Linked DNA regions of Saccharomyces cerevisiae S288C. The gene in region 1 interacts genetically with each later gene. Each region holds a gene or a part of one and is shown in the gene's direction. Other genes may lie near its edges.

Region 1 (3,759 bases):
TCGTCCATGAACCAACTGGAGCCGTTTTCGGTAATTAAACCGTCATCAAAAGACTCTTTAAGGTAGAGTGCATCCATGGGGTGATTATTGTGAAAGTTTTTATTTGATTTTGCGCTCATTTCTCGTACAGATACTTGACCATCTCTTGAATATAGTGTAGTAGAATTAGAGTTAACACTACGTAAATTTGATGTACTAAATTCCCGTGATCCTAGAGTAGAGAACCTTTTCAAGGAAGATTGGTTATCTGATATATTTATTGATGTTCTAGATTCTGTGCATAACGGTAAAGGCGTTTCATTTAACGTTTTATAGTATTCGGAAAGTTCTTCGATGATCAAATGTTCGCGGGAGTATATTTTCAATTCTTCGTATTCATTTTCCTCTCTTAGTGCCCTCAGTGTATTGTTGATAAATGCAACCATGGAAAACTTAATCTTTTTATGGTCAACTTGAAAGTTGTTGTGCAAATCCGAATTAAGGATCAACAGGGAAAATAAGACTATATGACATGACTTATAGCCTGACTTCCAATGTGTGTTCGGGTGGCAAGCTATCCATTCTATGCTCAAGCACTCTAGTATCCGGTCGATATTTTGCGCTTCTGCAATGAAATATATACTTTTCGATAAATTGAAAAGCGTTTCTAATAGTGACGACGGCAAAGGACTCAATAACTTTACAAACTCAGTCAAGACTTGATTATTGTTATCGTTTCCCAAGAAATTTGCATATTCCTTGTAAGATACATCTTTGAAAGTGCCTTCCAAGATCTCTGAGGCAATAAGATGACTATTCTGATCAGTTTCCTCGGATTGAGTGGAGCTAATATCTTCAGTACCAGTCCCCGCAGTGGCGGTATCCGTAGTAGGTATCACAGGTTTTTCGTCATTAGCAGCTTCCTTGTTTTGTAAAATATCACACATGTTGACCATCGTGGGAGACTGTAGCATATTTTTCATGCTAGTGGGCATCGACTTACTACCATGAAGGACGCCCTCACTTTCACTGAAATTGTCATTGTAGCCCTTTTGTGAGACCCCATAGGTGTCATTCTTTTTTACCTCGTTTAAACTGGCGCACATACCTCTTTGCGATCCCTTAATAGTCCATTGACTGCACAAAATTGTACCATCTAGTCAGCCTTACTGATCTCAAAGTTGATCCGTAAGATCAATGAACCGTCTCTATCATCTATAGATATTTTGCACCCAAACATCGCATTTTAAGTTCATTTGATTTAATATAATACATTTGAACATGCCATCGCACTTAGCTGCCATGTATAGGCCATAACTAATCGCTAATTATTTGTTGCAACTATCTGCAAATCTATACGACATATGTACATATGACTTTCACGAGTCTTCATGCATGTTTTAAGAAAGGTCATCGTTATATTTTCCCACGTTTCACTTCGCGTTTTGACTTGCTAAAAAAAGAACGAAAAATTCTTTCTGCAGACCCTCTCGAGGATGATGTAAGATTTAAGAGTAGAGACAAACTAGGTGTTGGCACTTGACTTTAGACTTGCTGTTAATAAGCCTTCCATTGTATACTACCAGGTTCTCGTCTTTTTTGGTGATAAAGTTAAAATAAAAGGATAAAAAATGGCAAGTTCACCGCAGGTACATCCATATAAGAAGCATTTAATGCAATCACAGCATATAAATTTTGATAACAGGGGCCTACAGTTTCAAAACAGTTCGTTGAAGGTAGGTCAAGATTTTTCAGATAATAAAGAGAATAGGGAAAACAGGGACAATGAAGACTTCAGTACCGCAGACCTTCCTAAGCGGTCGGCAAACCAACCGCTTATCAATGAGCATCTTAGAGCTGCGTCAGTACCTCTACTATCAAACGATATAGGCAATAGTCAAGAGGAAGATTTCGTTCCAGTCCCACCCCCACAGCTTCATCTTAATAATTCAAATAATACTTCCTTAAGTTCTTTGGGAAGTACTCCTACAAATTCTCCGTCACCGGGAGCATTAAGACAGACAAATTCGAGTACATCTCTTACGAAGGAGCAAATAAAGAAAAGAACTCGTTCTGTAGATTTGTCTCACATGTACCTGTTGAATGGTAGCAGTGATACCCAATTAACGGCTACTAATGAATCTGTAGCAGATTTGTCACATCAGATGATCAGTCGATATTTGGGTGGTAAAAATAATACTTCCTTAGTTCCAAGGCTAAAAACAATAGAAATGTATAGACAAAACGTTAAAAAATCTAAAGATCCTGAAGTGTTATTCCAGTATGCGCAATATATGTTACAAACCGCACTGACTATTGAATCTTCCAATGCTCTTGTTCAAGATAGTGACAAGGAAGGAAATGTCAGCCAATCTGACTTAAAACTTCAGTTTTTGAAAGAAGCGCAAAGTTATTTGAAGAAACTGAGCATAAAGGGTTATTCAGATGCCCAATACTTATTAGCGGACGGCTACTCATCCGGAGCATTTGGGAAGATTGAAAATAAAGAAGCATTTGTCTTATTTCAAGCAGCTGCAAAGCATGGTCATATAGAAAGTGCTTACAGAGCATCGCATTGCTTAGAAGAAGGACTAGGAACAACAAGAGATTCTCGTAAGTCAGTCAATTTTTTAAAGTTTGCGGCTAGCAGGAATCATCCCTCAGCAATGTATAAATTGGGACTTTATTCATTCTACGGCAGAATGGGTCTTCCAACCGACGTTAATACTAAATTAAATGGGGTAAAATGGTTATCAAGGGCTGCAGCAAGAGCTAATGAGTTGACGGCCGCAGCACCATACGAATTGGCTAAGATTTATCATGAAGGGTTCTTAGATGTTGTCATTCCGGATGAAAAGTATGCAATGGAACTATATATTCAAGCAGCAAGTTTAGGGCATGTTCCTTCAGCAACTTTGTTGGCACAGATTTATGAAACAGGTAATGATACAGTAGGGCAGGATACATCACTTTCTGTACACTATTATACGCAGGCAGCGTTAAAAGGCGATTCTGTGGCAATGTTAGGTTTATGTGCATGGTACTTACTGGGAGCAGAACCTGCTTTTGAAAAAGATGAAAATGAGGCTTTTCAATGGGCCTTGCGTGCAGCTAATGCTGGTTTGCCAAAGGCCCAATTCACTCTGGGCTACTTCTATGAGCATGGCAAGGGCTGTGATCGTAACATGGAATACGCATGGAAATGGTACGAGAAAGCTGCAGGGAACGAGGACAAGAGGGCGATTAATAAGCTACGCTCAAGGGACGGTGGACTAGCCAGCATTGGTAAAAAACAGCATAAAAAAAATAAAAGTATCAGTACTTTGAATTTATTCTCTACTGTGGACAGTCAAACAAGTAACGTAGGGTCAAATTCAAGAGTTTCTTCAAAATCTGAAACATTCTTTACTGGAAATCCAAAACGTGATCGTGAGCCACAAGGTTTGCAAATTAACATGAATTCAAACACGAATAGAAATGGTATTAAAACGGGTTCTGATACAAGCATCAGGAAAAGTTCTTCCTCAGCAAAGGGAATGTCAAGGGAAGTTGCTGAGCAGTCGATGGCAGCAAAGCAAGAAGTTAGTTTATCAAATATGGGCAGTTCAAACATGATTCGTAAAGATTTTCCTGCAGTAAAAACTGAGTCAAAAAAACCTACAAGCTTGAAGAACAAGAAGGATAAACAAGGTAAAAAAAAAAAAGACTGTGTAATTATGTAAGTACACATACTAGATTGTTTTCATTCTTTATAGGTGCAACAGTTTACACTCAATGCAT
Region 2 (3,061 bases), on another chromosome or scaffold:
CAAATCTTCAAATCACAGTTTTCATTAATCAGAATGTTGCTCGGTTTCAAATCTCTATGAATGACGCCCGCGGAGTGAACGTATTTTAAACCCCTTAGAATTTGGTATAGGAAATACTGAACAAATTGCTTTTCCAAGGGTCTTGTTTGCAAGAGTCTATGTAAATCTGTTCCTTGTAATTCCGTGACAAAATATATATCTTCCAATGGAGAAAGAAATATGTCCTGAAGGCAAATCAAGTTCTCGTGTCTTAGATGTTTTAGTAGTTTTAGTTCACGATATGTCCTTTTGGCCAGCACTGCAGTGGAAAAAGGTTTCATGATTTTCTTAATGGCAACTGGCTGAGATGTCAAAGTGTCCGTGGCTGAGCAAACCAACCCAAATGCCCCCATCCCAACGGGGTTTAAATCATTGTATCTATTTGTGATCTCGAAAACTGTACCGAATATCTGTGTCCTAATGAATTCCTCGTTAGTGGTCATTATTATATACGATAGTTGTAGTTTTCCCTGTTTTCCCTTTGTTCCTTTTTTTCGAGTCTAGTATTTACCAATATAGAAGAAAGAGAAAATAAATAAGGTTTCTTGTTAGAGATTAGTTACTTTTGCTATTATTATCGCAAATTCCTCTTCCACTATACAAACAAGAAAGTAATTACTACTCTTATTGTAAGATAGTATGATAATTTCGACGATAGATAATATTTGCTTTTCGTTGGCCTTTTCTTTTTTTTTTTCCTTCCTTCCCTTCGAAGATCCTCCCGTATAATAACGCCGCCAGACCATGTAGGGTAACCAGAGAATACGCCCACTCCGCTTTCGCATGTGGCACTCCTGTATGTCAAAATGCCGAATAATCTCCATCCATGACGAAGCGCTTTGAGGTGTTTAATTATATACAGGGCAAAGTCTTGGAGATAAAGAACGCTTTCCTAACAACTTGCGCTATTCCTCTTATTTCCTTCAATCGATTAAAATTAACTTTTAATCGACATTGTCTTTTAAACCAGGGCAAAGCAAAATAAAAGAAACTTAATACGTTATGCCGTAATGAAGGGCTACCAAAAACGATAATCTCAACTGTAAACAGGTACAATGCGGACCCTTTTGCCACAAAACATACATCATTCATTGCCGGAAAAAGAAAGAAGTGAAGACAGCAGTGCAGCCAGCCATGTTGCGCCAATCTAATTATAGATGCTGGTGCCCTGAGGATGTATCTGGAGCCAGCCATGGCATCATGCGCTACCGCCGGATGTAAAATCCGACACGCAAAAGAAAACCTTCGAGGTTGCGCACTTCGCCCACCCATGAACCACACGGTTAGTCCAAAAGGGGCAGTTCAGATTCCAGATGCGGGAATTAGCTTGCTGCCACCCTCACCTCACTAACGCTGCGGTGTGCGGATACTTCATGCTATTTATAGACGCGCGTGTCGGAATCAGCACGCGCAAGAACCAAATGGGAAAATCGGAATGGGTCCAGAACTGCTTTGAGTGCTGGCTATTGGCGTCTGATTTCCGTTTTGGGAATCCTTTGCCGCGCGCCCCTCTCAAAACTCCGCACAAGTCCCAGAAAGCGGGAAAGAAATAAAACGCCACCAAAAAAAAAAAAATAAAAGCCAATCCTCGAAGCGTGGGTGGTAGGCCCTGGATTATCCCGTACAAGTATTTCTCAGGAGTAAAAAAACCGTTTGTTTTGGAATTCCCCATTTCGCGGCCACCTACGCCGCTATCTTTGCAACAACTATCTGCGATAACTCAGCAAATTTTGCATATTCGTGTTGCAGTATTGCGATAATGGGAGTCTTACTTCCAACATAACGGCAGAAAGAAATGTGAGAAAATTTTGCATCCTTTGCCTCCGTTCAAGTATATAAAGTCGGCATGCTTGATAATCTTTCTTTCCATCCTACATTGTTCTAATTATTCTTATTCTCCTTTATTCTTTCCTAACATACCAAGAAATTAATCTTCTGTCATTCGCTTAAACACTATATCAATAATGCAATTTTCTACTGTCGCTTCTATCGCCGCTGTCGCCGCTGTCGCTTCTGCCGCTGCTAACGTTACCACTGCTACTGTCAGCCAAGAATCTACCACTTTGGTCACCATCACTTCTTGTGAAGACCACGTCTGTTCTGAAACTGTCTCCCCAGCTTTGGTTTCCACCGCTACCGTCACCGTCGATGACGTTATCACTCAATACACCACCTGGTGCCCATTGACCACTGAAGCCCCAAAGAACGGTACTTCTACTGCTGCTCCAGTTACCTCTACTGAAGCTCCAAAGAACACCACCTCTGCTGCTCCAACTCACTCTGTCACCTCTTACACTGGTGCTGCTGCTAAGGCTTTGCCAGCTGCTGGTGCTTTGTTGGCTGGTGCCGCTGCTTTGTTGTTGTAAACTTAGTTTATTATTATTTATACATTCTAAATTTTTTATAAACTTTTTTGGCATTTAACAAATATATAACAATTGGGATTTAGTAGAAATTCTTTTAATTTCTTCTTTTTTTTTTTAATCTATATTTATTCTTTTTCTTTAATTTTGTTCGAAACGCATATAATGTTTTTATTGATTTTGTTTCAGGTTCCTGAACCTCGCGGAGTTCCTATTTTACTGTTGTTTTTTTTCAAAACACAGGGGTACCTTGAAGTATACGCAGTGCCTCTTAGCCAAGGATAATATAAACACACTAGAACAAAAAAAAAATACTCCTTGTACAGAATCGTTTTCTATTTTGAATTTTTTTTATATAAACATGGTTTTATTGTCTATTACATAGCATCTACAAATGAGCCAAGACACTTTCGACTGAGGAAACGGTCACATCGGTACCTGGGTTGGTTTCCTTGGCAGCGTAAGTAACGATACCGTTTTCAACAACCATGGCCCATCTACCACTCCAGTAAACACCGTCACCGACGGCTAATTCGAAACCAATGGATTTGGTGAAAGCACAGCCTGGGTCGGAGGCAAACTTGATGTGTGTGGTGTCCTTAACACCTAAACTCTTAGCCCACGCTTGGTTAGCGAACGGGTTGTCAACAGTAACAACG
Region 3 (3,759 bases), on another chromosome or scaffold:
TAGTGGCCCAATTTAATGCGTCACAATTAATCACTCAAAGAGAAAAAGTTTCCAGGTTGATTCGCGAGAATTTGGTTCGTCGTGCAAGCAAATTCAATATCCTACTGGATGATGTTTCTATTACGTACATGACTTTTTCGCCAGAGTTTACGAACGCTGTAGAAGCAAAGCAAATTGCCCAACAAGATGCTCAAAGGGCTGCATTTGTAGTTGATAAAGCCAGACAAGAAAAACAAGGTATGGTAGTGAGGGCACAAGGTGAAGCCAAATCCGCCGAACTGATTGGTGAAGCCATCAAGAAATCAAGAGACTACGTGGAATTGAAAAGATTAGATACAGCCAGGGACATTGCAAAGATCTTGGCTAGCTCTCCAAATAGAGTCATCTTGGATAATGAAGCATTGTTGCTAAATACCGTAGTGGATGCAAGAATCGATGGAAGGGGCAAATAAATAGCGAAGGCTAGATATTATCTTTAAGAATTGAGTAACAATGTTAAGATGCCATATACTTGTGAATACAAAATAAAGGGAAAGAAAGCGATGCGTAAAACATAAATATTTGTATGTCTTCTAGAATAAGAATAAGGAGTATTACCCCGTATCATCTTGTATTGTTGGAGAACGTATATAGTATAATATGTAACACATACAGCAAAAAAATAGGCCAATTTATGATCATCATCCGTTAAATTAAATGTCTACATTCGGCTTGCGTGGTATATTCTGTTTGCCCCGCACAAACTCCAGTGTTTTGGGTTGCGATTTGGCTGAGAAAAGTTTTGACTTGTGATCATTCAGTTTTCTAGAGCATGGTGAAAGCAAATTGTCTGACGGCGACGCAAATTTTTGCCTAAGTTGCGTGTTCAAGTTTTTCCTTTGATCTTCCACTGCTTTTCTTTTCCGATACGTATTCTTGAATACTTGTCGATGAAGGCAATGCTTTGCAAATGTCTTCGTGTTATGCGCAACTTTAAGACTCATTTTCAAGTGTTGATTAAAAGAATCTAGATTTTCATCCCTCCTGGTGCAAGACACAGACGTATTTTGGATTTTTCTAATCAATTTTGTCACTATATCTTGGGATGCCGATCCGCCGTATGACATCGCAAATCTGTTACTTTTTTTTAGCGCAATGATGTAGTAGCCTCTGATTAACTTTTTTTAAAAAAAAATCACAGATAAGTAGAGGAAGAAGAATTTGCTGCTTATTGGGAACTTTCAATAGAAACCTTTTGTAGAGGATTTCGTTATTTGTTCAAGAGAATAAAAAGGTATACATTTGAAATCCTAGCATTAACTTCAGATACCTTCCACCTTACTAATCGCAGGCCTTTATGACAACGGAGGAGAGTTAGAACGAAGCAGAGAGGCTCCAATCTACATGGGAACATCGCAAAAGATGCGTACTCCGCACTGATCCATTTACCTGCAGGGCTTAACATGCATTGCACCACCGTTTGTACATCATAAGTTAATTACATTCCTTTTTAGGATAGTCTACTATTTATTTTTTCCCGTATCTGGAAAACCCCCTTAGATCCTTGTCACATAATCATAAAAATAAAGGCACCAAGCCCTAAAGCACGTGACATATGTCATTACCCTAGATTACATATAGGGCTTCCAAAGCCCTATTGGAGGTCGAAAAAAAGAAAAAAGAAAATAAAAAAGCGAAAAAAAGAAATGCATAATTCGCAGATTGTTTTTTTTTTCTTTTTCTAATGTCAGTTTTCCTACTTCGAGATCAAAAGAATGTTTTTGCACCGCAACTGAAAAGGTTGTGTTTTCTTTCCAGAGTAAATTACATTTTAATCAATTCTTTGCGCTGCTACGCAATCTTCAAACGCAAGTCCATTCTTAGAAATTTTAGCTTCTCTCAATATTGAAATATTTGCAAATACGCCATTCAAGAATCAAGCCTGTTGAAAATAAAGGTACAAAATTAAATCCGCTAATTATTTTTTTTCGTGTTCGACTAAAGTTATCGAAAAATTGAAAATATACAAGGACTAGCTATACTATCAATACGCAAAGAAAATACAAAATAAACGCACATTCGTTCTATAGGCGACAACTTGGCAGAATTTTTTAGTATAAAATGGATCTATTCAAAAGAAAAGTTAAAGAATGGGTATACTCCCTCAGCACTGACGACCATTATGCAGAGTATAACCCCGATGAAACGCCTACTTTTAACATGGGTAAACGTTTAAACAGCAACAATGGTCAGGTAAATCCCTCTCAAATGCATTTGAATAGTGTAGATGAGGAAATGAGCATGGGATTTCAAAATGGCGTGCCATCTAATGAAGACATAAATATTGATGAATTTACGTCCACGGAGTCAAACGATGGTGTCTCTGAAACCCTCTTAGCTTGGAGACACATCGATTTTTGGACCAGTGAACATAATCCAGATTTAAATGCAACTTTGAGTGATCCTTGCACCCAAAACGATATCACTCACGCAGAGGAAGACTTGGAAGTTAGCTTTCCCAACCCAGTAAAAGCGTCTTTCAAAATTCATGATGGCCAAGAAGATTTAGAATCGATGACCGGTACTTCTGGCTTGTTTTATGGCTTCCAACTAATGACACTAGATCAGGTTGTAGCTATGACTCAGGCCTGGAGAAACGTCGCAAAGAACCTAAACAAAAGATCTCAACAAGGTTTATCCCATGTTACATCTACTGGCTCTTCTTCATCTATGGAAAGACTAAATGGTAACAAGTTCAAACTGCCAAATATCCCAGATCAAAAATCTATTCCTCCAAATGCAGTGCAACCGGTATATGCACATCCTGCTTGGATTCCTTTAATAACGGACAATGCCGGTAACCATATCGGTGTTGACTTGGCGCCTGGTCCAAATGGTAAATATGCTCAAATTATAACATTTGGGAGGGACTTCGATACGAAATTTGTCATTGCTGAAAATTGGGGTGAATTTCTGTTATCGTTTGCCAACGATTTGGAAGCTGGTAATTGGTATTTAGTAGATGACAATGACGACTACTTTAGCGGTGATGGTGAATTGGTCTTCAGGGATAAGAAATCTAATGGTCCTATACAAGATTATTTCGAAGTTTTAAAAAGAAGAACGTGGATCAAGTATCAAGAAAACTTGAGATCACAACAGCAAAAATCTCAACCTGACACATCCTTGCAGGAGCAGAAATACGTGCCTGCCTCGCAAAAGAAAGTGGCAGCTGAACAGCCTTCTACCCTCAACGCAGAATCCATAAAGGGCGAAGATAGTGGTAGTGCAGATGTACAATCTGTTCAAGATCACGAATCTGTCAAAATTGTGAAAACAGAACCTAGCGAAGCGGAGACTACAACTGTAAATACAGAAAGCCTTGGACAAGCAGAGCATGAAATCAAAGCTGATAATGTAGACATTAAACAAGAAAGCGAGAGGAAAGAAGACGAAAAGCAACCAAAGGTTGAAGAAAAAGAACACGTTGAAAACGAACATGTCACAGAATCAGCAAAAAAAGACGATGATGTAAATAAGCAAACAGAAGAAATGAACAAAAAGGAAGAAAATGAAATAAGAAGTGATGATGCTAAAGTGGAAGAAGCGAGAGAAGAATTTGAAAATATAGCTTTATGAAATATCACAATTAACATTCTACAACCAAAAAGAAATTTGGACAATATTTATTTCTATTAAACTGTTCTAGGTAGGTTTCAACCTTAAGAAATTTATACAATATTATCATATATATATATATATATATATAGCACAATTCCC

Evidence for each region.
Region 2: mutations in SKT5 (region 1) and CCW12 impair growth when combined (synthetic growth defect), as found in Saccharomyces cerevisiae (5 studies listed by BioGRID, with this or other methods).
Region 3: mutations in SKT5 (region 1) and SMI1 are lethal when combined (synthetic lethality), as found in Saccharomyces cerevisiae (6 studies listed by BioGRID, with this or other methods).

The regions. Positions count from the first base shown.
Region 1 is NC_001134.8:105,258-109,016, reverse strand, and holds SKT5 (Skt5p), read left to right. Parts: upstream 1-1,610; coding exon 1,611-3,701; downstream 3,702-3,759. Other genes in the region: Arf family guanine nucleotide exchange factor YEL1, read right to left, coding at 1-1,085. UniProt on the Saccharomyces cerevisiae protein: Activator of the chitin synthase CHS3 which polymerizes chitin, a structural polymer of the fungal cell wall.
Region 2 is NC_001144.5:369,041-372,101, reverse strand, and holds CCW12 (Ccw12p), read left to right. Parts: upstream 1-2,003; coding exon 2,004-2,405; downstream 2,406-3,061. Other genes in the region: mitogen-activated protein kinase HOG1, read right to left, coding at 1-482; YLR112W (uncharacterized protein), read right to left, coding at 892-1,311; YLR111W (uncharacterized protein), read right to left, coding at 1,379-1,711; thioredoxin peroxidase AHP1, read right to left, coding at 2,791-3,061. UniProt on the Saccharomyces cerevisiae protein: Component of the cell wall. May play a role in the formation of a tightly packed outer mannan layer, which protects the inner glucan.
Region 3 is NC_001139.9:949,241-952,999, reverse strand, and holds SMI1 (Smi1p), read left to right. Parts: upstream 1-2,100; coding exon 2,101-3,618; downstream 3,619-3,759. Other genes in the region: prohibitin subunit PHB2, read left to right, coding at 1-452; BNS1 (Bns1p), read right to left, coding at 693-1,106. UniProt on the Saccharomyces cerevisiae protein: Protein involved in the regulation of cell wall assembly and 1,3-beta-glucan synthesis, possibly through the transcriptional regulation of cell wall glucan and chitin synthesis.